Linked DNA regions of Caenorhabditis elegans. The protein of the gene in region 3 interacts with the protein of the main gene of each other region in a pairwise test. Each region holds a gene or a part of one and is shown on either strand. Other genes may lie near its edges. The genes, in order: dmd-5, ztf-30, fkh-6 and tbx-38.

Evidence for each region.
Region 1: the proteins of fkh-6 (region 3) and dmd-5 interact in a two-hybrid assay, tested with the Caenorhabditis elegans proteins (one large-scale study listed by BioGRID).
Region 2: the proteins of fkh-6 (region 3) and ztf-30 interact in a two-hybrid assay, tested with the Caenorhabditis elegans proteins (one large-scale study listed by BioGRID).
Region 4: the proteins of fkh-6 (region 3) and tbx-38 interact in a two-hybrid assay, tested with the Caenorhabditis elegans proteins (one large-scale study listed by BioGRID).

What each region holds. Positions count from the first base shown.
Region 1 is NC_003280.10:5,770,836-5,777,655, forward strand, and holds dmd-5 (Doublesex- and mab-3-related transcription factor dmd-5), read right to left. Parts: upstream 3,386-6,820; 5' UTR 3,334-3,385; coding exon 3,195-3,333; intron 2,833-3,194; coding exon 2,668-2,832; intron 2,512-2,667; exon of another isoform or gene 2,397-2,511; intron 2,357-2,396; coding exon 2,264-2,356; intron 2,247-2,263; exon of another isoform or gene 2,052-2,246; intron 1,850-2,051; coding exon 1,628-1,849; intron 1,580-1,627; coding exon 1,356-1,579; 3' UTR 1,219-1,355; downstream 1-1,218. Other genes in the region: Intermediate filament protein ifb-1, read left to right, coding at 1-79, 127-234, 692-856; F10C1.1 (uncharacterized protein), read left to right, coding at 3,394-3,585. UniProt on the Caenorhabditis elegans protein: Transcription factor. Required for sex-specific synaptic pruning, probably acting downstream of sex-determining transformer protein tra-1.
Region 2 is NC_003281.10:8,593,223-8,600,599, forward strand, and holds ztf-30 (Zinc finger transcription factor family protein 30), read right to left. Parts: upstream 4,649-7,377; 5' UTR 4,622-4,648; coding exon 4,477-4,621; intron 4,399-4,476; coding exon 4,279-4,398; intron 3,483-4,278; coding exon 3,267-3,482; intron 3,219-3,266; coding exon 3,057-3,218; intron 3,011-3,056; coding exon 2,568-3,010; intron 2,522-2,567; coding exon 2,414-2,521; 3' UTR 2,088-2,413; downstream 1-2,087.
Region 3 is NC_003280.10:4,377,408-4,385,846, forward strand, and holds fkh-6 (Forkhead transcription factor fkh-6), read right to left. Parts: upstream 6,000-8,439; 5' UTR 5,882-5,999; coding exon 5,844-5,881; intron 5,684-5,843; coding exon 5,575-5,683; intron 4,220-5,574; coding exon 4,008-4,219; intron 3,935-4,007; coding exon 3,781-3,934; intron 3,124-3,780; coding exon 2,818-3,123; intron 2,629-2,817; coding exon 2,476-2,628; 3' UTR 2,471-2,475; coding exon of another isoform or gene 2,426-2,470; 3' UTR 2,380-2,425; coding exon of another isoform or gene 2,209-2,379; 3' UTR 2,178-2,208; downstream 1-2,177. Other genes in the region: B0286.1 (uncharacterized protein), read left to right, coding at 1,429-1,471, 2,010-2,164, 2,209-2,379, 2,426-2,470, 6,216-6,275, 7,412-7,574. UniProt on the Caenorhabditis elegans protein: Probable transcription factor. Binds to the DNA sequence motif 5'-[TA]TGTT[TG]T[TG][ATG]TT-3'.
Region 4 is NC_003281.10:11,782,008-11,788,703, forward strand, and holds tbx-38 (T-box protein 38), read right to left. Parts: upstream 4,055-6,696; 5' UTR 4,046-4,054; coding exon 3,840-4,045; intron 3,818-3,839; exon of another isoform or gene 3,738-3,817; intron 3,679-3,737; coding exon 3,360-3,678; intron 2,594-3,359; coding exon 2,207-2,593; 3' UTR 2,075-2,206; downstream 1-2,074. Other genes in the region: srd-74 (Serpentine Receptor, class D (delta)), read left to right, coding at 105-232, 277-345, 810-1,044, 1,407-1,685, 1,757-1,828, 1,879-2,067; C24H11.1 (Serine/threonine-protein phosphatase), read left to right, coding at 5,741-5,794, 5,842-5,973, 6,231-6,440, 6,512-6,675. UniProt on the Caenorhabditis elegans protein: Transcription factor. Required for mesodermal induction, acting redundantly with transcription factor tbx-37. Together with tbx-37, acts by inducing cell fates in the AB lineage, thereby playing a role in development of the anterior pharynx.

The DNA.
Region 1 (6,820 bases), 1.4 Mb from region 3:
CGCCAAGGGAAATGTGACAATTTCCGAGTGTGATCCAAATGGAAAGTTCATCAAGCTTGAGAACTCGCACAGAAACAAGGTATGTTGAAGCTTTTTGGTTTTGAAATGTTGAAAATTTTATTTCAGGATGAGAATGTTGGTGAGCACAAAATCAGAAGAAAGTTGGATGGAAGACGCGAAATTGTCTATTCCATTCCAGCCAATGTTGTTATCAAGCCAGGAAAGAACTTGACCGTAAGTTATTTTTATCATTGTTTTAGAAAAAAGTGTGTAGCTATGTAAATATTCTTAGTATTTTTTTAGTCTGCCACTATATTTTTGAGAAACCCAGCCAACATAGTCTGAAGCCCGTTAAAAACGTACTTTCACCTGAAAATTTCCAAAAAAAAAATTTTGAAAGGGAATGGCCAAATTTTGCTAAAATCTGAAATTTTGTGAGATTGTCCATGTAGCAATATCGGAAAATCAGTTGTTATTTCTCTAATGCTCTTTATCAGAGTTACAGGTTTTAGAAATTTGAAAATGTTTTCCCCAAGTTTTGAGCCACCATAAGAAATTTGGAAACATTTTCTGAGAGGTCTCATTATGAAATTTAATCGTTTCGGGTTAGTCTAAGGGTTTCTCGCATTTGCTGAGAAACTAATCTACATAATTTCGAAAAGAGAATATTCCAATTCCAATAAATTTCCAGATCTACGCCCGTGACCAAGGAGGCATCAACAACCCACCAGAGTCTCTTGTCTTCGATGGAGAGAACACCTGGGGAATCGGAGCCAATGTTGTGACGTCATTGGTGAACAAGGATGGAGAGGAGCGTGCAACACACACCCAGAAGACCATCCAATCCGGACAATAAGCTCTCATTATTTTTAAACAACTTTTTCTCTTTTAAACAACTCCCCAAAATCACTCAAGTTCTCTAGTTTCTGTCCATAATTTTCTTATTATTCTTGATGATAGACCTTCTCGACATTTTTTCTTTAAATTGATTCATTGAAACTGCCTAAAACTGACCAAAATATTGAATTGATTTGCTTAAGACTCTTCACTTAAAATCGCTAATCTGAAATTCATTTTAAAAAACATCAAAAAAAGAACAAAAACGTTTGCAATTCTTTTCATAATACACTGCTTTTCCCGTTCAAACTTCAAGTGTTTCCCCCCGCTCATTTTCCACCGAAAAATCTTTCTATTCAATGTTTTCTACTTCTTTTTCAATTTTAATAAGATTTTTTATTCAGTTTAGTTTTTTTTAATTGAAGACAAATCATAAATACAATTTTAAATGTGACCATATAAAAATATACAAAGTATTGGAACTCTGATTCTGACGATAAGAAAAAATATTCAATTTCTCAAAATGTTTTATCATTTTCTCGGTATTCTTCTTCGGCTTCCTCATTTTTCATTAAACGATGACTGTAATCCAATGGAGCAGTTTGTGGGAAAATTGTGCTCGGTGATGACGTGGCAATTGTTGGCTGGGCTGAGAAGAACGCTGGTGGAGCTGCGAGGCTCGCAGCAGATGCGAAATCTGACATTGATGGAGTTCCGAAGAAATGCGGCATCACTGAAAACACTGAAAATAAGTTTAATTTACGAAATAATATTGAATAAGCTCTCTTACTCGGAAATCTCATGAATGGTCTTCCATACACAGGATTGAACATTGGCATTGAAGAGTATCCATTTGGTTTGAAAACTGGACTTGTTGGAATCACTGAGCCACTGGTATTTGGTGTTGATTCAGATGAGAGCTCAGGTGGGGAAGAAGTGCTTACAACAGTTTCAGAACCTGTTGGAGAGCTTGGTGAACTCCGTTGTCCCTGTGAGTCTTCGTATTTTTCTTCTGAAAGGTAGTGCAAGGTTAGTTAAGGTTAATCTTTTAAATGAGAGCAATTGACTTGTAAAGTGCTAATCTAGATTAATCCCATCAATATTGTGAATAGCTTATCCCTCTCAAATGCATCTGCTTCTCGTAAAGCTTACAGTGCTCTCTAGCTAATTGACTTACGCAACCAGGTACGGGGATTATGGAGATGGGGTAAAAGTGCACCTGTTTCCGAATACGCAAAAAGTTTAGCACGAGTGGGGTTCGAACCCACGAGGTGTTATCCACCATTGGAACTTAAGTCCAACGCCTTAACCACTCGGCCATCGTGCTGGCCATTCGACGCGGCGCTCCGTAGCCTTCACATTACTGCGGGAAGAAGAGAGCGCACTCTCATTTCTCTGTCTCGAACAGGCTGTCATGTCGACTCACCAGTATTATTATTGTTGTTGGTCGTCGGAGAAGCGTGGTTTTTCCCGTGATGTTCACCGGCATCGAGACGAAGAATATCGAGGAGATCATTCGCTAAAAAATAGAAATTAAATAAAAAGTTAGCGTGTTATTCTATAAAAAAAGAGAACAATGTGTCATTGTAGAAGGTGTGTGAGCATACAAAGATGACCCTAATGAACTATTAGTATTGTAACAAGTATAGGTCATATTAGTGTCAGGTTACCCAATAGTTAGTCTAGCACCTCGAGCACAGCGGGAAGCTTGTTCAAGACACAACTTGAATGAAAAATGACCGGAAATACTTGATCGGGAAAAACACATGCACTGATTCAGCACCAGCATTCCACAGCTTAATCCCCGAATATTTAAATAAGCTGACTTACCATTTCCAGCAGAACCCAGAAGTACTTCCAAATCTCTTGCGTCTCTTTCTTCCTGAGATTGCTGACGACGAAGAGCAACCTGAGCAGCCATAACTCGTTGTCTTTCGGCAATTAATGTGCACTTTGCACACATACAATCCTTCCATTGACAGTAACGTTTGTGACCTGGAAAGTTTATGGAATATTACATTTAAATTCTAGATTTTCCACGAGAGCACAAATCACGCAAAGATGGCAAGATCGGTGATGTGTTTCCAAAAATTGAAAGTTCTTATAGAGCAACTTATTTTATGGTTTTAACAGAAGCCGGAGCATCGAGTGTTATTGTCCCCTTATATTTTGAAGTAAGCTTTACTGGAACTATTACATGCACTTGAAAAAAATTTTGTACTTCGATTAAGGATTAAACAAAATGATTTTTCTGGTAGTCTTGCTTAATTTGACAGCTTGAATCTCGGTTTTTATTTTTTATTCTATGAGACTGATGAATATGGTTAATTGTTTTGATGGAATATTAAAATACGAACCTTTCAATGCAGAAGTAGTTCCGTGATTCCGACATCTCGCGCATTTCGGAGTCCTTTGATTCCTCTCTGCACGAATTCGAAGAATCTGTTCGAGGCTAGTTGGCGGTAGCACAGATACTGACGACGGAGAAACAGGCATTCTGTTTAAAATATTTTGTTGTGAATAAGGTGAAATGTTATAATATCAGAATGAGAGGTAATGGTTCCCAAAAGGAATGCTCAAGTCCCACCCCTTTTGCTCTTCGATCAGTGCTCGCGCGGACCACCAACCGGAAGAAGCTCCACCCTTTGTGAAGAGGGTGTCGGGGAAAGAGGGGTTACTGTAGGATCAAATGAAACAGATATATCCAGAGATAGTAGTAGAAGGAAAAGAAAAAATAAGAGACTGTGAGAAAACATTGAGTAATTTGGTAATAATCAAGTGGGTGTATAACAAGGCACTATATTTAGGAATGTTGAAAATATACGGTAATCAAATAGTTTTAAATCGAAAAAAACTGGATAAACTGCTCTTTGCTTAATCGCCTATAACTCGACAGTATGTCGCAACGTTTCAACCAACTTTAGCAAGTTATCGCAAAAGTTGCAAAAGTTAGGTAAAGCTGGTTAAATTTTGGATGATCCCAAAAATGAGCACTGAAAAACTACCGAAAGTTGGCTAAACTTGGTTAAAAGCTTCTAGCCTTTCTTGAGAAGGTGTGGCGAGTTTCTGATAGTGAGTAGGGACTATCAAATCAAATAAGCCACTTGACCTGCATTTTGTTTTAGGCCATGGTTGCCATATTTCAAAATTCCGGAGTTGAAAAATGGTGACGCTTGGAGATATGCATTTTCAAAAACTGTACCCACAAAACATTGAAACTTTAATTTTGTTCAAAAAATGTGAACACATTCCTATCCTGCTGCAAGTAGCGCAACTTCTCTCAAGATTTGAATGGAAGTTATGGAATCAATATCATCACCATATGCCAAATCACGAGCCATCAATCACCTGCCAACCACCACAACAAGAAATTCTTAGAATAAAATTGAAAGTGTTTTCAATAAAGTTTACATCTTACTAGATTCGCGTACACACCAATTTTAGAGGCTGCAATTTGAAATCGTGTGCTCTCTAAACATCAGAATAATTACAAGTTTGCCACAAAAGCATCGGGCCTAACCGCGTAATAATCACAAGGTATCATGACAAATAACTAGTAGAGATTGAGATGCTAATTTAAATTACCGCAAAACGTATTAAAGAGGCTAAGGAAGGGTATGCTAACAACAATAATCATAACATATGGAGAAGAGTGTTGGTTGTGGACACCCCCTTGTAATTAGAATTTGCGAATGCAAAAGCTCATGCTTGTGTTTTGATTGGATTTCGGCATGGCCTTTTACACATTAAATATGAAAATAGGTAATCTGTGATAGAGAAGAGAACGGGTGTACTTCTGAACAAGTGTATTACAAGAGAGCTCAAGTAAAATTTGTAAGCATGGGGTTGAGCGTACATTTTCGAAGTAGTGATCGCGAATTTAACGTCCAAGAACAGATACATAAGAACCACAAATTTCCTGGTTTGGTGCAAAATTTAACTTAATTACCAATGAATTCTGGAGATAACAGATACACTCTGGCACACTCCAAAACGTTATAATAACCTATGCAGATCTATCAGAAAACGTAGACACCTCGTGTAAAAATGAACCTGTTTCCTGTCTGAATTCTACTGAACAGCTGAAATTGTCTGGAACATTAACTGTAAAAACATTGAATAAGATTAATTGTTCATTGGTGAGCTCGCCAGGGAAAGTCGTCGTTGAGACTTTGAATAACGAAAATTTTGAAAACATTGCTCTGAATGAGCACCCGACATCGATTAATTTGAGAAATTCACATCCCGAATATCATTTGAACTCTGACTTTGAATATCTTGAAGAGTAACTTTTCTAACCTTTTTCCTATAATATACGCAAAATGGTTCAAATAACCTAAATTGTCAACGACTTCTTTCAAAATTATATCGGCATACAAAATTTTTGAGAAAGTCCTATGAAACTAGGCTTTTTGTGAACATTTTTGAATCCACTTGATCGTGTACCATTTTTATTAGAAGCCGTCAATAATCAGTTTTACAACTCACTATTACAACTCACTAACTCAGTATTTTGTTTCAGTGTTTTCATGCACATCTTCATTTTCTGGTGAACTCCATGAGAAAGTTGGAAAACCGTGAAGGTCGAAAAAATTGTGAAAATGCGCAAGGAATTTAAGAAAAAGTTAGATAAACTTGCGAGAAAATTTACTCTACTAACAATATCACAGCGTTTTCATCTGTTTCAACTTCAATTGTTTTTCAGTCATGTGATAAAATTTCGAAAAAACATGCAACATTTAATAAACTGATTTCATTTATTCATCATCTAAAAACATTTTGCCACCCAGTGCACTCAACGCAGATGTTTTCTTTGCTTCCTGGTATTAAGAAACACTTTATATCCTAATTCTACAGTAAGATTGTTTTGCAGGTGTGACATATTAGTCTCTACTAATGTGTACTAGCTCTTCCCTTAGTTTCATCTATCCTCTTCACGCGATTACTGTAAACAAGAAGCATTGTGATGCTTTTGTGCTCAATATGCTCAATGGAGAAAATGATGGGATGAATATAAATACATATTTATGTAAACGATGATGATGATTTGTTGAAAAGAAATTGAAGAAGCCACTGAAGGTGTTGAGAGCATCTGTGTGCATTTTCGGCTCTTCACAATAATTGTTTTCGATTTCAACTCAAGAGGCAAAGGTTGTGAATGTAATATGTCTCTGTCAAATATGATTTACAAAATATGTTCAGGGAAAAAAGAAGTTAAGGACCTGGGGGTCTTGAATATTCCGGTTCAAATCGTGGATTCTAGGAAAATAAATGAAAAAAAAAAGTAATTTATTCTTTGTTACGAACCAAAAGTTAACAGATAAATTCCTTTGTTTTAAGCCAAGTCGGCCAATTCCGCGAGCAGGTTTACAAGTTGAAATGTCTGAAGTTTATTTTTTGCCAGAACCGCATTTTTCCAAATTTTAAACATTCGAGCAATCACATATTGGAAACAAGGAAATTTCAAAATAAATTTTCAACTGCTTAATTAGTTAACAATCAATTTTCTACATTTTTATATAAGTCTCAGAAATACGCACCAATTTTCTGCTCATACACAATTCAATAAAGAAAATTATTTTGAGATTTTTTTTAATTAAGAAAAATGATAATTTTCAAACTAACTAACAAATATACTTCAGATTCTTTATTTGAATTTTTATTTTGTTAAAATGAACTGGTTTAATGAAAAACCCAATATGAATACCTCTAGGTAATTTTTTTTCCAGAAAAATAAGTGAATGTCTTCTTTTCTATTTTCCGGTTACTCTTTCACACCCCGATCCAATACCATAATCCGCGTAAGACTGCACCTGTAATCCCATTGAAGTAGGTGTCAGAATACAGTTGATTCCACACCTCTTTTCTGAATTCCACCGACAGTGTCTGTTGACACCACTTCATTATCTTCCAATTGCACAATATTTGAAACAAACTCCCATTATGTAAACACTGAACAGGTGTTCACAACAAGACTGTGAGA
Region 2 (7,377 bases), on a different chromosome or scaffold from region 3:
TTTTCGTGATTAATCTACCATATTCTTTCTATCTTGTAAATTGTTACATTTATCTCGATCGATCAACAAAAAAAAATCCAAACAACATTCAGAACGTTTGTCTCAATAACATCTTCTAGGCAATTCTACGATCACCAGAGAAATTTTACTGAAAATTTAAAATTGAATTTTCTGTTGTTTAGTTTGAGTTCCGCCGTTACAATTTTTGTGGTGACCTATAGGACTATAGTCAAAATCTAATTTTTTTAAAGAATTCGAATGACACGCGGCTGGTTCTGAAGTCCAATATACGTTAAATAGTTTTCTTCATTAATTTTTACTGTTGAACATTTTTCATTCTATTCAAGAAAATATGTGCAAGTCTGAAACGTAAAATATGTTTAAAAAAACCCAACCTGCAACACTGGCAAATGCGACGATACATTCCTAATTGATTTACGTTTAGCTAACAAATCACATAACAAAAAATGTGGAACTTTCTCAAAAAGAGAAGAAAATGAAATCTATTTAATGGTTAAGGGAAAAAATTTCACGTCGCAACTCATTTTATCGATTTTGAAAATTTTGAAACTTTGAAACGGTGTTGAAACTAGCCACGCTATATTGTGCATTTTGAGCAAAAACAAATACATATTTGCGGAATGTAGTATAAAACCCAGAGATATGTAGTTATCAGTGCATACCGGCTACAGAAAAACTTTTAAAAAATGCTGCAGTGGTCAGTTTACATTCGGATTTGTTTGTGTACGATTAGAACCTAAATGCTATTGAAAAATGGAATTGGCATATGGTATATTGAAATCGAAGAAATCGAACAAGAATAAAAGAATACAATGGACAGTAATACTGTAGGGACATCAATTGTAAATAAAATAAAATAATGATTGTCTATGTTTGTTCATCTGTTCCATTGAGCAAATTTTCAATGAATCTAAATTTTACTCTGGTTTTAGAAATTGTATGGCTCAAAATATGTATTTTGTGTGTGTTCCGGAGTACAGCTTATCACTTTATCGAAAAACGTATGTTTTGATAAGGAAAGGGCGTTTCAATAAATTTGAAGAAAAAAGGGCGTTGCAACAAGTGACATGAATAAAACAAACATATTCGTAGAGTCGTATCAATAATCAGCATCATTTCGATCTTACGTACGTGGAGTAACAAGGAACTGGAATTTTTTGCATGCCGGAGGAATAGGAAGATAAAAATGAAAGACTAGAAACATAGTCTGCTTGTCTGGTATTCCAAAGATCCCCTACCGTACCTAACTGTACTAAACTTACAGCACGGTTACCAAATCCATACAGTCCCGTAATACCACAGTATCTCAAATTATTATGTTTTTTTTAACTTTTAAACAGAATATGTATTGTATTTTGTATGTATTTTGAAAACTTGTTCAGACAAGTTCATCAAACATGTTAATAGCAATTTGAATTGATTTCATAACTCTGACAGCGTCGTCTGAAAATGTTTCTCAATACTATTTAATTTTTCTACCCCCATACTCTATTGTTTTAATTTTCCTAGATAAATTAACAATGCTCCAAATTCGTCAAGTTTTTTTTTCCTGAAATGGTCAAATTTTGACAGCAATGACAATGTTCAATGTGAGCACCTATCAGCACATCAACGAAACAACCCACAAAATAATGACAAAATTGCTATGAAAAATAATAATTTGATGAAAACTGACTTTGCGAAATTTGAGAATTTAGCTGAAACAGAGTTTAACATTAAAAAAAACAGAGCTCAGGATATTGGTAGAGGCTCATGACTAAATTTGGTATTTTTGGGTCGCTTTAAGTGAAAATGGACATCGATTTTTTGTTGGAATTAAAGAGCTAAGAAATGAGCTTTCTCAGATTTCAGTTACCATGGATATTTGGCAGAGGATTTATTTAGTTATTTGTTTATTCTGGATAAGAAATCCGTTTACGTCTTTTGTAAATGTATTTTTCAAAAAAAATTTTTTTTGAAAGAGTACCAAAAATTCTGGAACACACATTATTCAACTTTCTATACTGTTTTTTTACTTTCTTGACTTTCTCTGATCAGTTTCAGTTATTTCCTGGAAGAAACGTAGAATACAGCATTTAAATTTATATCAAGTATGTATTATTATTATATTACAATTATGTATATTCAACGTAAGCACTGAGAATTATGGAGATGGAGACACAGAAGGAACACAACGGATCGGATGATTTTGATTTGTTTGTTTAATATTTGTTTTGGAAATAAAAAGCAAAAAATCCCGCAAACAGGAAGAAATAAGTTAAAAAATATAGTTCTGAGATTGGTAAAAAATATTGCGAAAATTATGAGAAATCTCCAAAAATGAAACAATATTAACATGATAGTAAAGCTTGCGAAGTTTGAGGTTTCAGAGAAATTTGGAAAAAAGATAATTCTAAAAAGGACGTGTCAAAATTGTGTTATTTATGAGAATTCGAAGAAATGAATTCATTTCCGAGGCGTCGTGAGCTTTGTCATTTTGAAGAAATTTCACGGCAAGATTCTGAAAAAATAATTTTGAAATACTTCTTTCTGATCTGAAATCTTACCTGACACTCTAACAATTTCCTTTGGAATAGCTCATTGTGCTCACGGAGCGCGTGTGCTTCCATTCTCAATCTGAGCACAGTTTGTTCCAATCCATTCATTTGGGCATTTGCTTCTAAACTTTCTTGTTGCATCGTACCAATTTTGTGTTCCAACAGTTTGCATTTATTTTCAGAAATCAATATCTTTGTCCTGCTGACGTGGCAGTCGAAGCATTCATGACGTGGACTGATCCTTGAAGAAGAAGATGATGAGGATGGTGAAGCTGTATCAATCAATGGAGATGATATAAGAGCACGATCAGAACACAACTGATGGAATGCACTAAGATCAGACTTGAAGCTGACTGATGAGCAAGTTGGTGACTGTGAAGTATACACATCGGGCTTCTCCACTTCATCTTTTATTTTTTCTTTTGAATCTGCTACAAATATTGGTGCCGTAGCTGAAATATTATCATAAGCATTACAAATATTTTGTATGTAACTTACTAGGTATGGGTTTTGGAAGATTTGCAAGCCATGAAGGTGTCTGAGGTTGAGATCGAATAGGCGATTGAAGAGCAGGGATTGGGATGCTTGCAATTGGAAGAGAAGGTACTGATGATTCAAGGGATTGTGGGGTTGGTAGATTTAGAAGTGGAGTACGGATTACTGAAATCAATAATCTTTTTATGTTCATCTCATATCTGATAGTCTTACACTGGAATGGATCTGTAATGAGGTGGCAGCTTCTGTTGATAACTCCATGAGGAATGACACTATTATTATTGTTGTTGCTGTCATTGTTGTTAGTGGCAGTTTGTAGATGAATATGAAGAAGTGATTTATCAGGAAAAGCCCAATTACAGCAACGGCACATGTACATTCGAGAGATATGATGTTGCTTGAACATATGAGTACGAAGAGATTCACTACCTGCAAATTACAATAGTTTTTTATTATTATTCAAAGTCCCCAATTCAAATACAGTACTCCTATAAAGTTTGTCTACTTATCCCAAAGCCATTATTTGACCCCTTACAATTTCGCTCCAATCCTCCACTTTTTTCCCTTCTGCCCCCACTCTCATCCATTGCGCAACCTCATTCAATTGTCCCCGTTCTCGAAAAGTGAGAACTGTGTTTGCGTCTGCGTCTCCACTATTTCGTATTTCTCCGGATGACCTCAATCGTCCGGAGAATGAAGAAACAGTGAAAATTGAATGAGATCAAGAGGAATCTTTCTCCGGAGAGTGGATGGATAGTAAACAATAATTGTTCATACAGATGCTTATACCCGAACAACAATAAAAACGAGTTTCTTGCGGTGTTTCATGTGATAAACAATTCAGGTGTAAACAATATGCTTGTTCAAATATTATAGGTGGATGCTTTAAAATATAGCAGTGGTTTTGCACTGCACAATTTTGCTCTGCAAAATGTTCTACAGTATCCCTGCTAAACCCGGGAAATGAGGAGATCAAATCAAAAGATGTACTGGAGCTTAATACATTTTTGTAGCAAAAGCTCTCTGAGTCCCTGATCGAACAAGTTTTCATTCTATTTCATATTTTTGTCTCCAGCAGCTTTTCAGCTCAAATGTGCAGCTCATTCTTGTATCAAATGTCATGATTATCTTTCTTTCAATTTCGAAAAATCTGTGATTGAGGATTTTTCTTAATGCTCGGAAGATCACCTCATTGTCAATAAAAAATAAATAACTTCCGACTTACTTGAGATATCTTTTCGGCATACTGTGCATTTGTAGCTTTTGAAGTGAGCCTGCATACGGTGGCGGGAGAGACTTGAAGAATGACAGAAAACTTTTGAACAGATTGAGCAACGGAACGAACCTGAAATTCAGAATCATTATAAAAGTAAGAACCTAATCAGATTTGGTGGACTAATAACAATTCCCAGAACTTACAAACCTTTTAAATCGGGTCGTTTTAACTCAACACCACTTCCACCTTTGGATCCACTGATATCAGTTCCATTCTCAACCTCCACGTCACTACCGTAACCTTCCTCCTCTGTATTTGTGGGTGAATGAATTTTATCGTCTTCCAGCTTCATATCCATTTCAAGATGCATGATTTTGAGCTGAATCATGAAACATGAAGACACATGAAACAATACAAAGGCAGATAAAATGAGGAAGTAAAAAATCTGAAAATCGAATGAAAGAAAAGATGTGTGAGCTCATAGCATTTTGAGCACATAGGCACTTTTCAATGTGTGCAGGCAAAAGGCCATTATGATGACGGAGGAGGAAGAAGAAAGATGCAAAAAGTAATAAAAAAAGCTTAACTACAGGCATCCAGATCAATGACGCTGACGGTAAGAATGATCCATTCTCTTTTTAGTGTATGTCATGTAATCCCAAATCCAGATCATTTTACAAGAATGACTTGAATTTCTAAAATAGAATGTGCTGCAAGGATACGGTAGATTAACTCAGATAACGAATGAATCATTGCATTCAATGTTTTGGAGCAGCAGGAGCACGGGAATTTTATGAGAACGTGTGTGTGAGAAGCTTCAAATTTTAAAAGTAAATCGGAGGAGCTTGAAATCAGCAATCGTAGTATTATCTTTCAACATTATTGCCTGGTTTCGCGTACCTAATATATTTACAGAATTTTTGGGGCAACAGTTTCCAAGAATAACTTGTTTGGAGGCTTTTCCAAACTGTGACTCTTTGCTCCATTATTTAGAAGACGTTTTTTAATTTTGAACTCTTTCGTAGAAAAAAGAAGAACTTAGTGTGAACGTTGAGTAGCCAATAAATGGCAATTTGTCAGTATTCACTTATTTTAGGAGACTCTAAAAAGACAATCTCTGGAGTTTTTAGAAAACTCTAAAAAATGCTGGTCATGTTGGACTATTATTAGTGTATTCAAGTTTTGACATAGTCTCTTGTTTTGAAATTTATGAAATGGTTAAAACAGCTAGATTTAAAAATTTCATCAGCCATTGTTTGATCATCTGGGCAAATCTTAAAGCATAATCTTCTAATCTTTTTTGAGAGACCTGTTTTTAAAATCCAAAGAAAATCCTTCGAAGAAAGTTTATGGTTTGTACTTCAAAATCGTCGGACAAGTTGTTTCTAAGAAAGTGAAGCAAAAAAGGTTTAATGATGGATTTTGCATAAGAAAACTAAGTAGGTTTAAAGTTTAATCGCGGGGGAGTGTTTGCAAAAAAGGCACATCTTTAGGGACTTTTTTCTAGATTTAACAAATGAAAAAGCCGTGCAAATTTCAGTTTACTTGGTTCCCATATCCCAAAAAGAGACCATAAACATTAGATTAAAACTAGGCACTTGTAATAAGCCTAATGACGTGGCACCGAAATGTTGCAACCCGTGACTATGAACTATACAAGGTCAAACTGTCAATACACCTATCCTTTCCGCTAATTATCCATCGTCACCAAGACGGCTAAGACGGAAAAAAGATGAAGACGGACGGCAATGGATTGAAGGGAATAAGACGAAAGTGTCAATACGCAAAGACTAGGTCAAACCGGAGAAGATGAGAAAGTATAGAAGAATAAGAGATACAGACTAGAGGAATGACGTAAGGTTTCCAGGAGAAGCTAGGTGAGATGAAGTGGAAGTAAAGAATTTGGAAAAAAAATGTGCTAGAATTGGGGAGAAAATCTCAATAAATTGTAAGCATGTGAAGGCAGTGGGGAATGGGTTCTGAATTATTTCGAACACATAAGCTCCGGCAGTTGGGTTGCTACTTGTTAAAATACATCCTTAAAATTAGCAGAAGGAAACATTTCCATTTCAGAGTGATAGAAGTTCACAAACTACTAATTTGGAACTTTCCTTTTTCTGGAAAAAAGTTGACACCTCTGAAATGACACCATATTCACTAGTGTTCCTGAAAAGTTTTCCGTATTAGTTTTCATTAACAGCAAAAAAAAGTTGGCCCGAATGAAAAAAAATAGGCGGATACTCGGATGGTATATCCTGCCCATCGACAAGATGATCCTTGCTTCAATTGGTTTTAAGCCGCTTCCCAGATTTGATGAGCGAATTTGGCGATGAGCCGTGACGACGCGTACAGCCTCATTTGTGCAGGATCGAAAAAGCATCAGTTTTCGAGATAAGGCAAGACATGTGGAAAAAATGTTTTCTGACGCAATTGAGTTAAAAAGGGCGGGGCTATGGCTATGTGTACCGAAGTGTTGAGTACGTCAAATTTTTTGAAGTAAGTTCCTTTAGAATTTTAGATAAAGTTGAAGTTTGGTGGGAAGATCTGATAATAGTTTCTTTTTATACCACAATGTAATCAATATAAAAACATACATCGTTTTCCTATTTTACCTGGTTCAGTAGTCTGGAAGTTCCATGCCGCCATATTAAAGCTTAATAATTATAACTACTAATTTCGATATTAACTAGCAATGCCACAAATGGTAGTTTCATTTGAAATAGGAAAAAATAGAAAATTTTCAACTGGGTCATCTTTTTCCCAATTTTTTTAAAAACCAAAAATTGTCTTTTTTAAATTAAAAACCAGTTAAAATGGTTCAGCTGAAAATTCGCTCGCAAATTTTCGGCTTCAATTAGTTTATTTTTTCTCATTTTGTAAGTATATTGCAAACTGGGGACACAAAGAAAAATTTGATGTAAACCCCTTGTGCCTGTCACACAAAAATAAGACTAAATGTCTAAATATAAATATTGGTACTTTCCTTGTATTTCCTGAGACTTAAGATCTTTGAGGAAGATCGCAAAATTTCGAAATTCACTCTGTAGGATTTTCTAGATTTAGCATCGAAATGCTCAATCAACAGATCATTCGGAATGACAATATGCA
Region 3 (8,439 bases):
TATTTTATGGTGCATCGTTCAGTTATGCAGCTAGATTTTTTTTGGTTTTTTTTTTAGATAAAAAGATGTTAAAAATTTTGGAAGAAAGTAGTTTTTGGTAATATGTTTTTCTACCATAAAAGTTGTGTGCCTTTTATCCCAATTTTACAATTTTGCACAAAAAATACGGTACCAGGTCTCGACACGAAATTTTTTTTGAGAAATGCAAGAAAGCGTGCACCTTGAAAGAGTACTGTAATTTCAAATTTGTTGAATTTTCCTTAATTTGTAATGATTTTCTCAGAGTTTGTCAATAAAAAAAAAGTATATTTTATAAAAAAAGTATGAAATCCCGCAGCACTAAAAATTTCAAATTACAGTACTCCTTAAAGGCGCACACCCTTTTGCAGTTAACAAAAATTTGTCGCGTCGAGACCGGATACCGTATTTTCGGGCGAAAACCGAAACCCTTTGCGTCCAAGTAATACCGAATTTTTAAGAATGATTTTTGGAATTTTTTGCTTGAAAAATTGCAATTAATTGAATTATAATTATTCTACCTAAGAAAAAAAAACCTAAGTTTTATGGTTTTTTTTTTGAAAAAAAAATTATTTGATTTTCAGATCAATCTAAAAAATTCTGAAATTCACTTGAATTGTCATTTTTCCAAATAGAAAACCAATTTTTTCAGAATTTTCATTAGGAATTTGTTGTTTTCCTAGATTTTTTCCCCACTTCCTTAAAAAAACCAAAAGTTCACAATGGAAATTTATGCAAAAATTGTGGCATTTACTTTGGTCTCCATAGTTTTTTAGATTTCATTTTTCATTCTGGAATAGTTTTGTGAATTTTTCCTGAATTTAAGAATTTTTCGGATTTTTAGGACGTTTTTAAGTACGAAAAATAGAAAAACAAAAAAAAAATTAATCTCCAATTTGAAAGTTATTTTTTCGCAATTTTTCAGCTCTTATGGTGAAAATTTGAAAAATCCTCCCGTCAAAATTTTAAAAAATAAATTAAAAAAAACCTCCGAATTTTCCCTCTCCGCACCTGTAAACGTACTAATCCTTCAGTTTTACAATCCCTCTTCTCGATCCAATTCCTCTTTGACAAACTTTTTTGTGGTGTATTCCAATTTTCCCTTCAACTCTAATAACTCGTGAAATGATCCGTCGTGTTCGTGTGGCTCTGAAGTATGTCTTCTCGCGTCAATTTCATCTTTATTTCCGATATTTCTTATTGAAAAAAAAAGATCATAATAATTCGTTCAGACACTCACACCCAATACATGCCGACGAGAAGAGCAATTTGATGCCGTCGCTGCTCGGCGCACCTAATAATCGTTTAAGAGTTGTCCTACTCTTTCTGTTCATTTTCTTTTTGTACGTCTGGAATCGTAGAGAAGCATCGTATTCTGATGAGATTCGGAGGAAGGATGAGCAAGTGGAAATGTTGCAGAAAGAGCACGCAAGTGCTCTCGAAAAGTTGAGGGGTAGGTCTTCTGAGTTTTTAAAAAATTATATATGTAGCTTAGAAAAAGTTCTAGTTAACATTGTTTACGTGGCCTAGAAAAATCTGAAGTTAGGCCATCAATCGATTTTCAGAAAATTCTGAATTTCCGTCAATTTATTTCTAAGAACATTCGAATTTCCCGCTAAAACTATTTCAATCAGATTTTTTAAATTTCTCGCAGAAAAATTTTCTCGAAAAAAATTAATTATTGGTCACAGTTTGATCTCAAAAAATTTGAACTTACTACAAATTTAGACTACAAATTTTTTGGACAAAATTTTACCAAAATTTTGTTCTCAGAGACTTAGATTTTCTTGCCAACTTTTATTTGGTAAATTTTAAATTCCGATTAATATTAGTTTTTGAAATAATAAGTACTATAAACTTAAGTTTATAAATAAAATTGATATCGGTGATTTTTTTTCTTCGAAAAACCCTCCAAATTGAGTAGATCTGCCATTAAAAAAAAACTGAAAAAAAAACACTTTAAAAGTCAAATCACTGTTTTTTTCTTTCAGTAATCTGGCTGCACAAAAAGAAGATCGAGGCTGAATTACAATCCCGCCACGCCGAATCAACCAAATTTTTAAGCAAAATTAAATTAAAAGAGTCAGAAATTTACGGGTTGAAGACAAAACAAGAAACGTGCCAGAAGGAGTTGACGGATTGTCAGGTAAGATTTGAAATTTTTTTAAAACCATAATTCATGTTTTATAGACTTTAAAAGAAGAGCCAAAAGAGCAAAAAAAAGAAAACAATAAAAACGATGAAAATTCGAAGAAAACAATCGAAAAATATGAACAAGAAATTGCGGGTCTCAAAGAGAAAATTGAAGGTTTGGAGGAGAAGGTGAAGAATAATTATTCGGATGAAAATTCTAGCTTGAAGGTAATCTGAAATTAATTACCAAAATATTTCAAAAAATTTATTCCAGGAGGAACTGAAACAGTGCGAAACGAGGATCAGGCAGTTGACAGGGGTAAGTTAAGATGAAGCTGGGAATTGTTGTCCATAACCATAGAGAGATGGGTCATCAAATGATAATCCCGTGAAAGTGGTTGTTGGTTGACAGGACCAATTGGTATAAGGGGGCATGAAGGCGTTTGGGTACATGTTGCTTGCAGTGGAGAGCAGTTGCTGGAATAAGTTTTAGGAGGGTTTTTGATTAGTTATGAAAATTCTAAAATTTAGAAAAAGTGGAGATAGGAGAAAAAGTGGAGATAGCATAATTTTTACCGACTTCAAAATTTCTCCATTAAGCTGCAAGAGTTAAAAAAAAAGTAGCATAAACTTTATTTAAAACATTTTTTGAAAATTTCAACTAACCTGTTGCTCGATACTCCTCGGATCAGTCATCTGAAGACTTGTCAAGAATGTTGTACTTGAAATCCCAGGGATCAATGGCTTCATATCAACTAGAACCTCCTCTTTGACAGTATCCGATGGTACAACTTCTACATCAGACACAACTGGTGGTGGTTGAGATGGAGCCACTAGATTTGTGTCGAAATGAGAAGTTGGAATTGGGAAGGCGCTTGTGTAAATTGAGGTATCAAATGATGACGATGAGGAAGAGGAGTTGTTGATTTGGGAGGTGTTGGCACTATCAGTGATGGAGTTGGGGTATTGGAACTGAAAAATTGAAAGTGTTAGATCTGCACCCCGATTGTGCTCTATTTTGACCGCTTATATCATGGTTGCCTGAAATTTTATCAAATAATTGTCATTATTTAAATGTAGAGAAATATTTTGCCCATATTTTGTCAACTGACAATTTTTGATAACAACAAAGGGAGTCAAGATATAAGCTGTCAAAGTAGACCAAGGCATGGAGTCCACTTTTTGGGCTTTTTTGGTAGGCAGGCACGCCTTCAGGCGTACTTACCTACTTTATATTTTTCTGCCTATGCCTGCCTATGATCTAAAATTTACAAGCAGGCATAGTTGTCTTTGTGAAATATTTGCACAGTTCGCTAATTTCTTTAAGATCTTTTTGAGATTGGCACAGTTTCCTCGGAGTTTTGAGTATTTTCATGAAAGTTTTTTTTGGAAAAACAATTATTAATAAAATTATTTTTAATTGGGAATATAAAGCAACTTTGCTTCATTTTATAAGAGTTGTAACGAAAATTTCACAACTAACTAGTAAGGACTCTGGGGCTAAACGATAAGCTTACTACAGATTCACCAATATTTTTAGTACAATTTCGTAAATTTGTTGCCTGTTCGAATTTTTCATGGGGCGTTAGCGTTCAGATTCCCGAAAATCTTCACTGGGCAATTATTTACCTTAAAAAACTGGAAAGGATCCATAGTTTGAATATTCTGTGGCCACTTCAACCCGTTGAAAAACGGAAGCTGTTGCTGTAGAATGGTCCCTGTTTCAGTAGTTTCCGTCGTATTCGCATAACCCATTTTTCCGATTCCAAGTCTTTTGACACGTCTGTAAATACATGAACAAATAGTCATTTTTCACGAGTGTATAATAATAATAATCCTCTTGTCACTATCCATACCTTCTCTTAAAGTTGCCGTTGTCAAACTGAGGCGCATTGTCCGCCACCATTTGCCAATAGTTGCCCTTTCTGTCGTTCGCGCAGCTTTGTCCGTCTCGTGCTTTTTTGACAAAGCAGTCGTTGAGTGACAGATTGTGTCGAATACTGTTCTGCCATCCCTGTTTTCGTTTCGCGTCCGCGTCACGGTAATATGGGAATTTGGCCTCGATGAACTGAAACACACATCATCGGTTTTGTTTGCGCCTGATAGGAAACTAACATACTTTGAAAGGTTATATCTCGGTTCATAATAAAGATATCAATGAATGATCAACTACAAACCTATAGAAAAATAACCAAAAAATATTTGGCTGGTAGACAATTTTTGTTTAGGACAAACGAGAGCTGAGATATTAACTGTCAAAGTTGAATACTAAGGTTTTTGGGTCTTGACACGAAGAAGGTCTATATATATATATATTGACATTGTTATTGACTTGTAGGAGAGAGGAAAAGTTGTTCACTGTGTAAATGTTATGGGAGAGGCACAGGGTGCCCCCCACACCAAATTAGTCAGATCTATTAAGGTTGATGAGTCAAAACGGAAGAGTGGAAGTGGTGGGTTACGGTAGATGTGCTGGCTAGTGAGTTGGGTTTTCCAGAGTTAGATTGAACTGAACATTACTAGATCACTTGTGACAGGGTTACGGTAGGGCAGGGCTAGGTGGAAAAAAAAAGCAACCAACTGAATATCACAACAAAAATATCAATGTATGAAACTTACTGTACGAAAATGTGATATGGGAAAGATGATGTAGAACCTTAAGAACTTTTTTTCGAATTTCGTTTTTTTTGTAGCAATAAGGAGCAGATTAATTTTACTGCTATATAATCGTGTTAGAAAATCTCCAAAATAACAGATATTTTGAGGCTTTTCTAGTAATTTCAAAACAATTTAAAGTACAAAAAATATAGGGAGAATCTCCGGAGAAGTGACGAATATTTTTCTGGATTTTTAAATGAAGTATATGTCATTACAAGATGATCGCCAAATTTTTCGCTTCAAAGGAGCATTTTGAACTAGAAAATGTTTCATTAAATGGCTCGGCTTGATCAGTTTTATATGACTAAATAGACTCCGATGATTCAAGTTTTCAAATAATTGAAATTTACAAAAAAATCTTTCAAACGTTTGCCTATACCTGAAAAACTTAAAAGAAGATAAAAATCGGATTTGGAACAATTTCAGCAGCCTCGAAGTTAGTGTAAAGTGAGATAAAAATTCTCAGAAAAAAAGTAATTTTTAAAGTTTTGGAATTGAATTTCGTAGATCTATTTTTGCAGGAATAACTGAAAGTTCTAGCACATATTTTAATACTCAATATGACGTCCAAAAAAAACTGGAATATTCCGCTAACATTGTGAAAAATTTGCTCAAAAATTCTTCAAAATTTGAATTGCCGCACCAGTTTTGGGTTTTTAAAATGGTATTTTTCCGCAAAAAAGTATTTAGTTTTAGCAAAATTTTCATGATAATTCCTCCAAAACCGCTATACCAAAAAAACGTTATCGAAAAGCTTCCCGTTACCTTGTAAATCTGATTCAACGTCATTCTCTTATCCGGCGAAGCATCGATTGCCATTGCAATAAGTGCAACGTAACTGTATGGCGGCTTGTCAATCGAATTTCCCTCTTGACTGGAAAGAGCTCTTTTATTTTCAAAACTTTGCCTCTAACAGAATTTTGCAACGGGGATTTTGTATTTAGAGAAGAAGAAAAAGAAAATATGTTTCCCCTCTCTCTCTCCCTCTCTAAAAACAATAATAAATAAATAAAATAAATAAATACATAACTTACACAATATGAAATGGAAGATGTGTTTGATGGCGAGTCATGATTATTGTATTTTTTTATGGTAGGGGGTGTCAAATGAGACAACGGATTATGCAGAAGCTAAGAGTGAGGGCGGGGTCTCGGAACTGTGAAGACGGAGGTGTGGGTGGAGGGAAAGAAATGGAAGAAGATTGTGCACACTGTCTCCTTCTCCCCCCTGTGTGCTCCTGACATTTTCTGGTGCTGATTCACTGGTAAAAGGGAAACAGAAACATCCAATCTGATCATCTCTTACTTTTTATATTTTGTAAATAAACGAAAAATCGAAAGGGAGAACACGACGACGATTGGAGAATATTTGTATTACAACACAAAATTACACACAACTTTTTACAGGGAGGAGCCATCGAGCATTACTCGCAAAATGAGACGGCACATTTCAGCAGGAATCAGAAGGTTTGTGCTTCTTTTTGTTGTACACAGTACTCCCGTTACAGTAATCTGGAATTATTCTGAAAATTTTGCGATTTTTTAATCCTTAACTTGACCATATTTTTTGACTTTCCAGCGACTTTTAGTCACCTTTCATTCATTGTATTTTTTCTACTAGACTTCCAGGCACTTTCCTTTACTTTGACAGCGTATATCTCAGCTCTTTTTGATTTTATCAAAAATTATTAACTGGCAAAGTACTCCCAAAATAATTCTCTACATTTTATTAGTTTATCATTTTTTGTTAAAATCTAAGTGAACCAAGACATAAGTCGTCAAAGTGGAGCAATGTCGGCGCAAGGCTAATAGGGAAAATTGGCAAAATAGTAGATCAAAATGATTTCCAATTTTTTTTTTCAAACTTCTGAAAAACAAATTTGTTTTAAAATTAATGATTATAAACCACAAGTATCGTTTTTTTTTTAATTTAAATTTAATTTCATTAAAAACTGGATTTTTTTAACTTTTTAAATTTCCAGCCACATTTTTGGGCATTGTTTTCTGTAGCCTCGAAAAGTGAATAGAAGTGCCTGGATCGACCAAAATAATTTGAAATATTTGTTTTAATGCTAAAACGGTCAATTCAGACAAAACTAGCCATTTTCCAAAGCATCAGAAAAATTTAGAAACAAATTTAGAAAACTTGAAAATTTTTGATTGCAAAATTTTCGATTTTTTCGAAAAAAAAAAGATTTTTATCAATAATAATTTCCCTCAAGAAAGTGATTTTAAAAATGGTTGTTTAAAATAATTCACCACATAATCAGAATTTCAAATATTCAAACAATTTCCAAAATTGGATATTTTTCATAGATAGTTCTATTTTTTCACACTTTCAATTTTTCTCTGTGTAGTTTCAGAATCACAAGATATTTTCCCATTTGAAACGAAAACATATCACTTTAAATAAATCACCTGAATATTTGCCACTGTTTTGCTTATCTGTCTGACTTTCTCTTATCAACAAATTGTTTCAAACTTTTTGATCAAAGGTCTTGCTTGTTTCTATTTTTACTTACTCCCTGTATTTCTTTTCACATGAGTCTACAAGAGAGAAAAAAGTAGCCGTCATAAGGGTCAACTAACTACTCCATTTTCAGGCTGATGAACCATTGTTCTTCGATCGAGGTAACATTCAACATCACATCCCGCAAAAGTTGTTATTGGGACGAGAATTGGTGCAGACACTGGAAGAGGCAAAAGTGAAAAAGTTGGAGGAGAGAGAACAAATGGACAAGCATCCACAGGATCGCGATAATAAAGGTGACATTTTGACTGGAAATTTATTTTTTTCTTTGGGTTACTGTAGCTGAAAAAATCTGAAATTTGTCGTGGACGTGTTAAAAAAAAATCCCAAAAATAGAAGCTACCAAAAAATATTAAAATGAAAAAACTGAAATACGAAAACAGACAGTGTGCATGCTAAAAAAGTGTGGTAGGTAAATTGGTAGGCAGGCAGATGTATGACAGAACGGCACATTTGATTACGTACCTACCTGCCTAACTAGAAATATGCCTACCTACGTGAAAATGTGCCTACCATTCTGTTACCGCACCTCCCACTTAGTAACTTATCCACCTATTTCTACCTAGCCTATTATGTACCTACCTACTTACTATCATGACAATCTATACTTGAATACGGGAGTACCGACCTATTTGGTAACGCGCCTACCTAAACAACATGCCCACCTACTGATAACGTGCTAACCTACCTGGTGACGTACCTACCGACCTGAAGATTTGCCTACCTGTTTAGAAACGCGCCTACCCATTTGATAACGTTCCTACCTACCTCATATTGTATCTATCTACTTGATAGCGTGAGTACCTATCTGTGCCTAACGTGCCTATTTACCTGATAATATGCCTACCTGTTTCAACGTACCTATTCACCTACCTACCTCTCTAGGAACAGGTCTACCTGGTTAATAACGCGCCCCTATCTACCTGACAACTTGCCTACCTACTTGGGCCTACCTGCCTGGAACACTAGTGGCGTGCTTACTTGCCTTGAAATGTGCCTACCTACCTGGCAACAGGTTTAACTACCTAAGAATTTTTCAAACAACCATATTCAGCGTATTTCAAAATTCGAGTTATAATTTATTTTTGAATCAATTCTATT
Region 4 (6,696 bases), on a different chromosome or scaffold from region 3:
AGTTAGTTAAACTAGTTCTAATGGTCTCTTGCACTTTCATCTTTTGGAATTTGATCTCAGAACAAATTCTCAAATGGACAAAAAAATTCTAGAACTTTTACCTAATGGATGAGAGCGTTGCAATGTTTGTAAACTACTACTACATTGCCTATGTGATTTTCGCGTTGCCATTGAATTTTCTATTGATTTTCCTGATTTGGTTCAAGTCGCCGGTGTCTTTCAGCGCGTATAGGTGAGTTTAGGTGCCGATGAACATTTTTTAAAGCCTATTTTCAGACTACTTCTGCTCTACACCAGTATCAGTGAGACTTTTCTCATCGTTTTCTCGTTTTTGTTACAAATGAGGTGGGTTTTATAGCAAACCGGCGGTTAAAATTTGAAATAAAAGGTGTTCTGGTTCTCCTCATATTTCGAAATGGAAGAGTTTGCCAAACTAGGCAATTTCGACTCAGCCACGGCCAGGGTAGATTTACGGCGCGTTGTGTGTCGCGTCGCGGCTCGGTTTTAGTTGTAAAACTAAATGTGTTTGTCCGTGTGGAGTACATATCGAAATTAGGCAAAACGGGAGGAAAAAAAGATTAATTTCAAAAAAAATCAGTACAAGCGATACAGTAGTAATTTAAAGAATTACTGTAGTTTTCGCTACAAGATATTTTGCGCGTAAAATATGTTGTGCAATACGCATTCTCAGAATTTTGTGTTCTCGTAATATAAATAGAAATATATAAATTTAACAAAAACTACTTGAAAAGTCGACGAAAATTTCGCATCAAAAAAATTTCATGTTATCAGAATTTCCCGATTTCCAGAATCATCAGCGCCGGCGAATCGGTCGCCTTGGTACCATATGGCCCTCTTCGGCATGCGTCTCCTGTGATTGCCTTCATAGGTTATAATTTTTATAATTTATTTCTTTGCACCACAAATCTCTCAATACTATTGTCCATGTACTATCGGTACTCGTTGATTTGTCACGGAAAGTGCGAGAATTTAGCGTTGAGTCGAAATTTCGGAGTAACGTTGGTGATTTCTGTTGGAATGCTGGTAAGTGAAGAGTGTTAGCCAAGATATGGGCGTGGCCTAAAATAATCTTGAATGTTTCTTTTGGTTCAAATTTTTGGGTTTTCTTGTCCTATTTCCTGAAACGCTTAGGAAGTAGGAAATTTCCATGATTTTCTTCTCAGGGTTTTCATCAAGACTAGGCCTAAGCCTACGCGTAAGCCAAAGCTTAAGCCCAAAAAACCTAACCCTAAGCCTGAGCCCGAGCCTAAGCCTGAGCCTAGGTCTAAGCCTAAACCTAAACCTAAGACTAACCCTAAGCCTGAGCCTCAGCCTGAGCCTGAGCCTGAGCCTAGGTCTAAGCCTAATACTAGGACCACTTTCTAAATAAATTCCAAAATTTTCAGGTAGCAATTTTAATTCCTCCATACGACTTCCCTACAGTAACCCTGAACACGGAAAGATCGTATCCCAACTATCACCTATTAGATACTTTCGGCGAATATGGAGGCTTCAAGTCGACAACTCGGCTGGTTTATCTTATCAATACCACAATTCTCATGGGAATTCCCTACATGATGCCCGTTTTCATTCTGTACTGGAGACATCAGATCTTCAATCAAATCAACGAAGTTCAGACACATTTGAGTGAACGAACCAAGAAATCGTCGTTGGATTTGGTGAGGGTGAGTGGTAGGAGTAGGCTTGCCTGCCTAGTAGGTAGGCAAACAAGCAGGCAACTTTCCAATTTTTCCAGGCACTCACAATGCAGGCAATGTTCCCGATGGTATGCCTTCTTCCCAATGTTGCATACTTCCTTGTGGCGCAGGTGAGATAGGCAGGCAGGCAGGCACGCCTAGCCCATTGAAAAATTTCCAGCGAATCCACATCGAGTTCGAGATTGCCGAGTTCGTGCCGTTTCCAACCTGCGTCATCCCGTGCCTCATCGATCCGATTCTAACGATCTACTACGTTGCACCATATAGGAGTTTTGTGACGCGGCGGCAGAGAAGTGTCTCGATTGGGGTGACGTTGTCCGTGGCGCAGTCTTCCGCGAGGACTATTTGATTTTTTTTAAATATTAATAAAGTTTATTTCAATTGTTATTTATGAGACACATAAATAGTAATCCAGGAGATCAGTGCAGTACAATATTCAAAGGGGGAGAAAGGCAATAGGTAGGGGGTATAAAAATATTACAAAAAATTCACAAACTTTGGAATTCATTTTTGAGCTCTTGTGGTTGTCCTGGCATCATCATTTGCTGCTGTTGCCACCAAAACTCGTATTGTTTTTGATAATACATATTCCAAGCTAATTGAGCATTATTTTGAACTTCGAAATTGTAATTCTGAGCACTTGCAAACTGTGGCTGGTAGTTCTGCGGAGCCACAAAATTCTGGTTGAAATAATACGGGGTTTGCTGTGGGAGATCTATTTGCGGTGAGATTGTCGGTGGGGTTACCAATTTGCTGCGTTTGGGCGGAGAGTTTTCAGAATTTTCAGAGTCTGAAGAAAGCCGTCTCTTGCCATTCGAACGAAATCCGGATGCAAATTTATTGTGATGAACCTTGAGGTTTTTGAGGATTTCGTTCTGGAAAAGGGTACAATTTTGTAGAGAATATATGTATGTAGTTGGTGAAAAATTTCTAGTTGTGGGTAATTGAATTTGCTACATTTTTTTATTTTTTAGTTGACAAAATTTTAATAGCGTAGTTTCAATCCGGCACTTAATGAAAACTTAATGCTTTTTCCGAAATTGCCATGCCGAATAAATTTACCGAATTTGACGTGCTCGACAAATATTTTGAAAAAGTCGATTTGCGGCCTAAGCTTAAGCCTAAGACTAAGCCTAAGCCTAAGCCTAAGCCTAAGCCTAAGCCTAAGCCTAAGCCTAAGCCCAAGCCCAAGCCCAAGCCTAGGGCTAATCAGTGATGGGCAGCGAACATGCTTTCTTGGCGAACGACGAATTCGGCAAATTTGTCTATGCAGTTTTTTAAGTTTTCCAGGTTTTTTCTGAAGGTTTTTTCCTGTATAATGGCGTAAGCCTAAGCCTAAGTCTAAGCCTAAGCCTGAGCCTAATCCTAAGCCTAAGCTTAAGCTTCAGCAAATGGCAACTTTCGGCAAGTTTTTCAGTATTTTTTTAATTTTGAATTAGATGCTTTCTATATGTCTACATTTATTTTTGATTTGAAAAGTTGGAATAGCGCTTCGAAATTTACAGTTTTGGAAACTTGAAAATATGCTCTCCAACTTTAAACTACTTCATCTCCGTTGATAGTGACGCGATTAAAATGTTTTCAACTTTTTTCAACAAATTGTTGCAAATTTAATTTCCCACACCCTTTCAAATAACTAACCTGATAAGCAGTGACCACCATAAATTCAGTAGCCTCCAACCGGAACTGCTCCCCACTAAAATCCTCTTGATACCCTGTCTTATAATGTCGGACCTGTTTAACAGTGACCACTGGAATGTGCTTATGCATACTCTGCACTAAAATGACCTTCTGATCCTTGATTTCCGGGTTATTCGTGATTTTGATGTGAGCAAACGAGACGGGCTCACTCATCCATTCTGCTCCAGTACGCTTGCCACGCGGATGCTCCTTGTATTGGATTGGAAGAATCGGATCTCCTTTGGCGAATTCTTTCCATTCTCCTGCGTCGAATTTGTATCTGGAAATGAGTTCAAGTTTTTGAAATTGGAATCGTCCTATAGGTTATAACTCTGAAAGTATACCAGCTATCAAAAAGTTGTCAATTTAGAAATTGTAGCAAATTTAATTTTCTACAATTTACCAGTTGAAAATTTTTTTCTATCTTTTAACCCAACTCACTTAATCCCGTCAACACGTTCCAAATGAATATAAATCGAGTAGAGACTGCCTGGATCCAATCCCTTGATGATATAGTCCAAATGCGGAAAAATCACCCTTCCACGGTTTCTCGTCACAATCATTTCGGTTTTCGGGTAGAACTCTTCCCAAATTTCTGGTGTGCTCAAGGAGACTTTAATTCCGGATGGGGAGGTGCACGAGTACATGGTAATGCTGTAACAGGGGGAGTTATAGGAGTAACAGAAGCACAAAAAAGTGAGACCGGAAGTAGAGCAACAAAAATCTAATTGTAATAAAAGTGCTAACCACTCTCACTAATTCTGTAAAACTGAGCCGGTAAGTGGGCGGAGCCGGAAGGGGCTGGGCCACACGTAGGGGTGGACACGTGGCAAGTGGAGCACAACTTGGCACATATGAGCGTGTGGCCATGGGAGATGTAGCGCACGGCGGCCTTGGGTGCAGGCTTAGGCTTAGTCTTTAGGTTTAGTCTTAGGCTTAGTCTTTAGGTTTAGGTTTAGGCTTAGACATAGACATAGGCTTATGCTCAGGCTTAGGCTTAGAGTTATGCCTAGGCTTAGGTTTAGGCTCAGTCAGGCTTCTGCTTGGGCTTAGGCTTACAATTAGGCTTAGGCTTACACCTTTGAACAAGAAAAAACCTTCAGAGAAAACCTGGAAAACTGGAAAAACTGCATAGGCAAAGTCGCCGAATTCGCCGTTCACCAAGAAAGCCTGTTCGCCGCCCATCCCTTATTAGGCTTAGGCTCAAGCTAAGGCTTAGGCTTAGGCTCAGGCTTAAGCTTAGACCTCAGCTCAGGCTCAGGTTTAGGCTAAAGCATAGGCTTAGGCTTTTTGAATTCACACCAATATAATAATGACCTAGAAGGATCACACGCGAAGTATATCCAAAATAACTGTAAAATCGGAACACTCATTAAACTGCGAGCCAATGTTGGTGTCTGATTCTTGAACACCTCTTCCTCCAACTGAGCATCTCTATGGTCTTCAGCAATCTAGAATGTGTAGTTCACACTTCAAAAGTATACCTCCACCCACACCTTGACACCTCACACTCTAGTGATAGCGGTGCGCAGTTTTGAATTGGCTCGGAAGGAGAAGATGTGTCGGGCTCAGCGGGAGGGCTGGTGCATTTTGAAATTGGTTAGAAACACAAGAAATTGATTATAAAAATAATTTTATATTTTGTTTTTCATACATTTTTCAATAGCTTCATACTTAAACGTTACTATTAAATGTACATTTCTTCCAGTAATTTTTACTGCAAATATGAGATTTTTCAAGTAATAATAACGGTTCAAAAACGGTTCGAAACACTTGGCAAAATACTTTATAGCAAAGTATAAGCGGCACATGTCTTTGAGCCGTAACACAACTCTCTGCCATGTATGGTACGCCACGTGGTTTGGAAAACGAAAGACACACGATATTGTGGGAAACTTGGAGGACATCTGGAAAATTAAAGAAAAAAACAATATCGATTAGGAATTTAGGAATAGTTGGAAAACGATTTACAAACTTTTTGATAGCTTTGATAACAATTTAATCACGAAAATTATAATAAAAAATTATTGAAAAAAATTTACAAAAAAAAAAAGAAATTTTTCGCGTCAAAAACAAAAAAAAAAAAAAAACGCTATAAAAAAGTTGTCAACTATCAAAATGTAGAACATAAAATTTACAATTTTTGGATAGTTTACAACTTTAATAACAATTTAGTTACGCAAGTTTAAAACAATTTAAAAATGTTCGCGTCAAAAATAAAAACAATTGTTATCGCAATGGTCAATCAATAAATCATCAAAATCAATAAATCAATAGAAAGAAAATAAATTCATTAATTGATAATTCACACTTCAAAGGGATCAATTTGAATTGAAAACGAAATGAGTTCAAATTCTTCGAATTCTTCAAATCCTGCTGCAACAGATGCTCCAAAGGTAAGTGGAAATTCAGATGATTCTTTAAAATGCCTCTACCTTTTCAGAAAACTTCCGTTGAACCGGGTTCGGAAGCCAACAATTGGCATATCACGGAGGCCGATGAGAAGGGATTCAAGTTGACCGATATGATCAAGAAACTTCTGAAGCCTGTATTCTCGAAAGCCATTATGTTTGATGTAAGTAAAGGAGACTCTATACCGGCCTGCCTGCTTCACCTGTGCCTGCCTACATGCCTTCCCATTGCCTATCTGAATCATCCCTGCATATTTACCTGCCTGCCTCATACCTGCCTAAATGTTTAACCACTGCATTCCTACCTATTCTCTACCTGCACCATCCCTGCGTTTCTAAGCGGTTGCCTGCCTACCTACCCACGCCCCTGCCTGTCTATTTGCCTCCATGCCTACCTACGTTCCTAATGTCTTTTTTTCAGGAAAAAGAGATCCATGTGCTGTTGACACGTGTCTTCAAGTACTACACATCTCCACCGAACAAGAAAACTGCACCATCTGCTTCAGCATCTGCAACCACATCTATGAGCCCTCCAAAACCGGCTGCAAATGCTCTTTTGGAACTTCAAGCTCCGATCAACATTTGTGGAGATACCCACGGGCAGTACAACGACTTGCTTCGTATTTTCAATGTAAGTCCTTACCTGCCTGCCTACCATACCAACTGCATGTGTGCTAAGCTGTTCTATATGTTCCCTTTCAGGCCTGCGGAGCAGCGACAAAAACTCAATACCTCTTCCTCGGGGACTACGTGGATCGTGGAGGTCACTCATTGGAAGTCATTATGCTTCTCTTCTCACTCAAATTGGCAATGCCCAGAAAGATGCATTTGTTGAGAGGAAATCATGAGTTGAAGGCCATCAACAAGTAAGCACATGTTAGTAGATC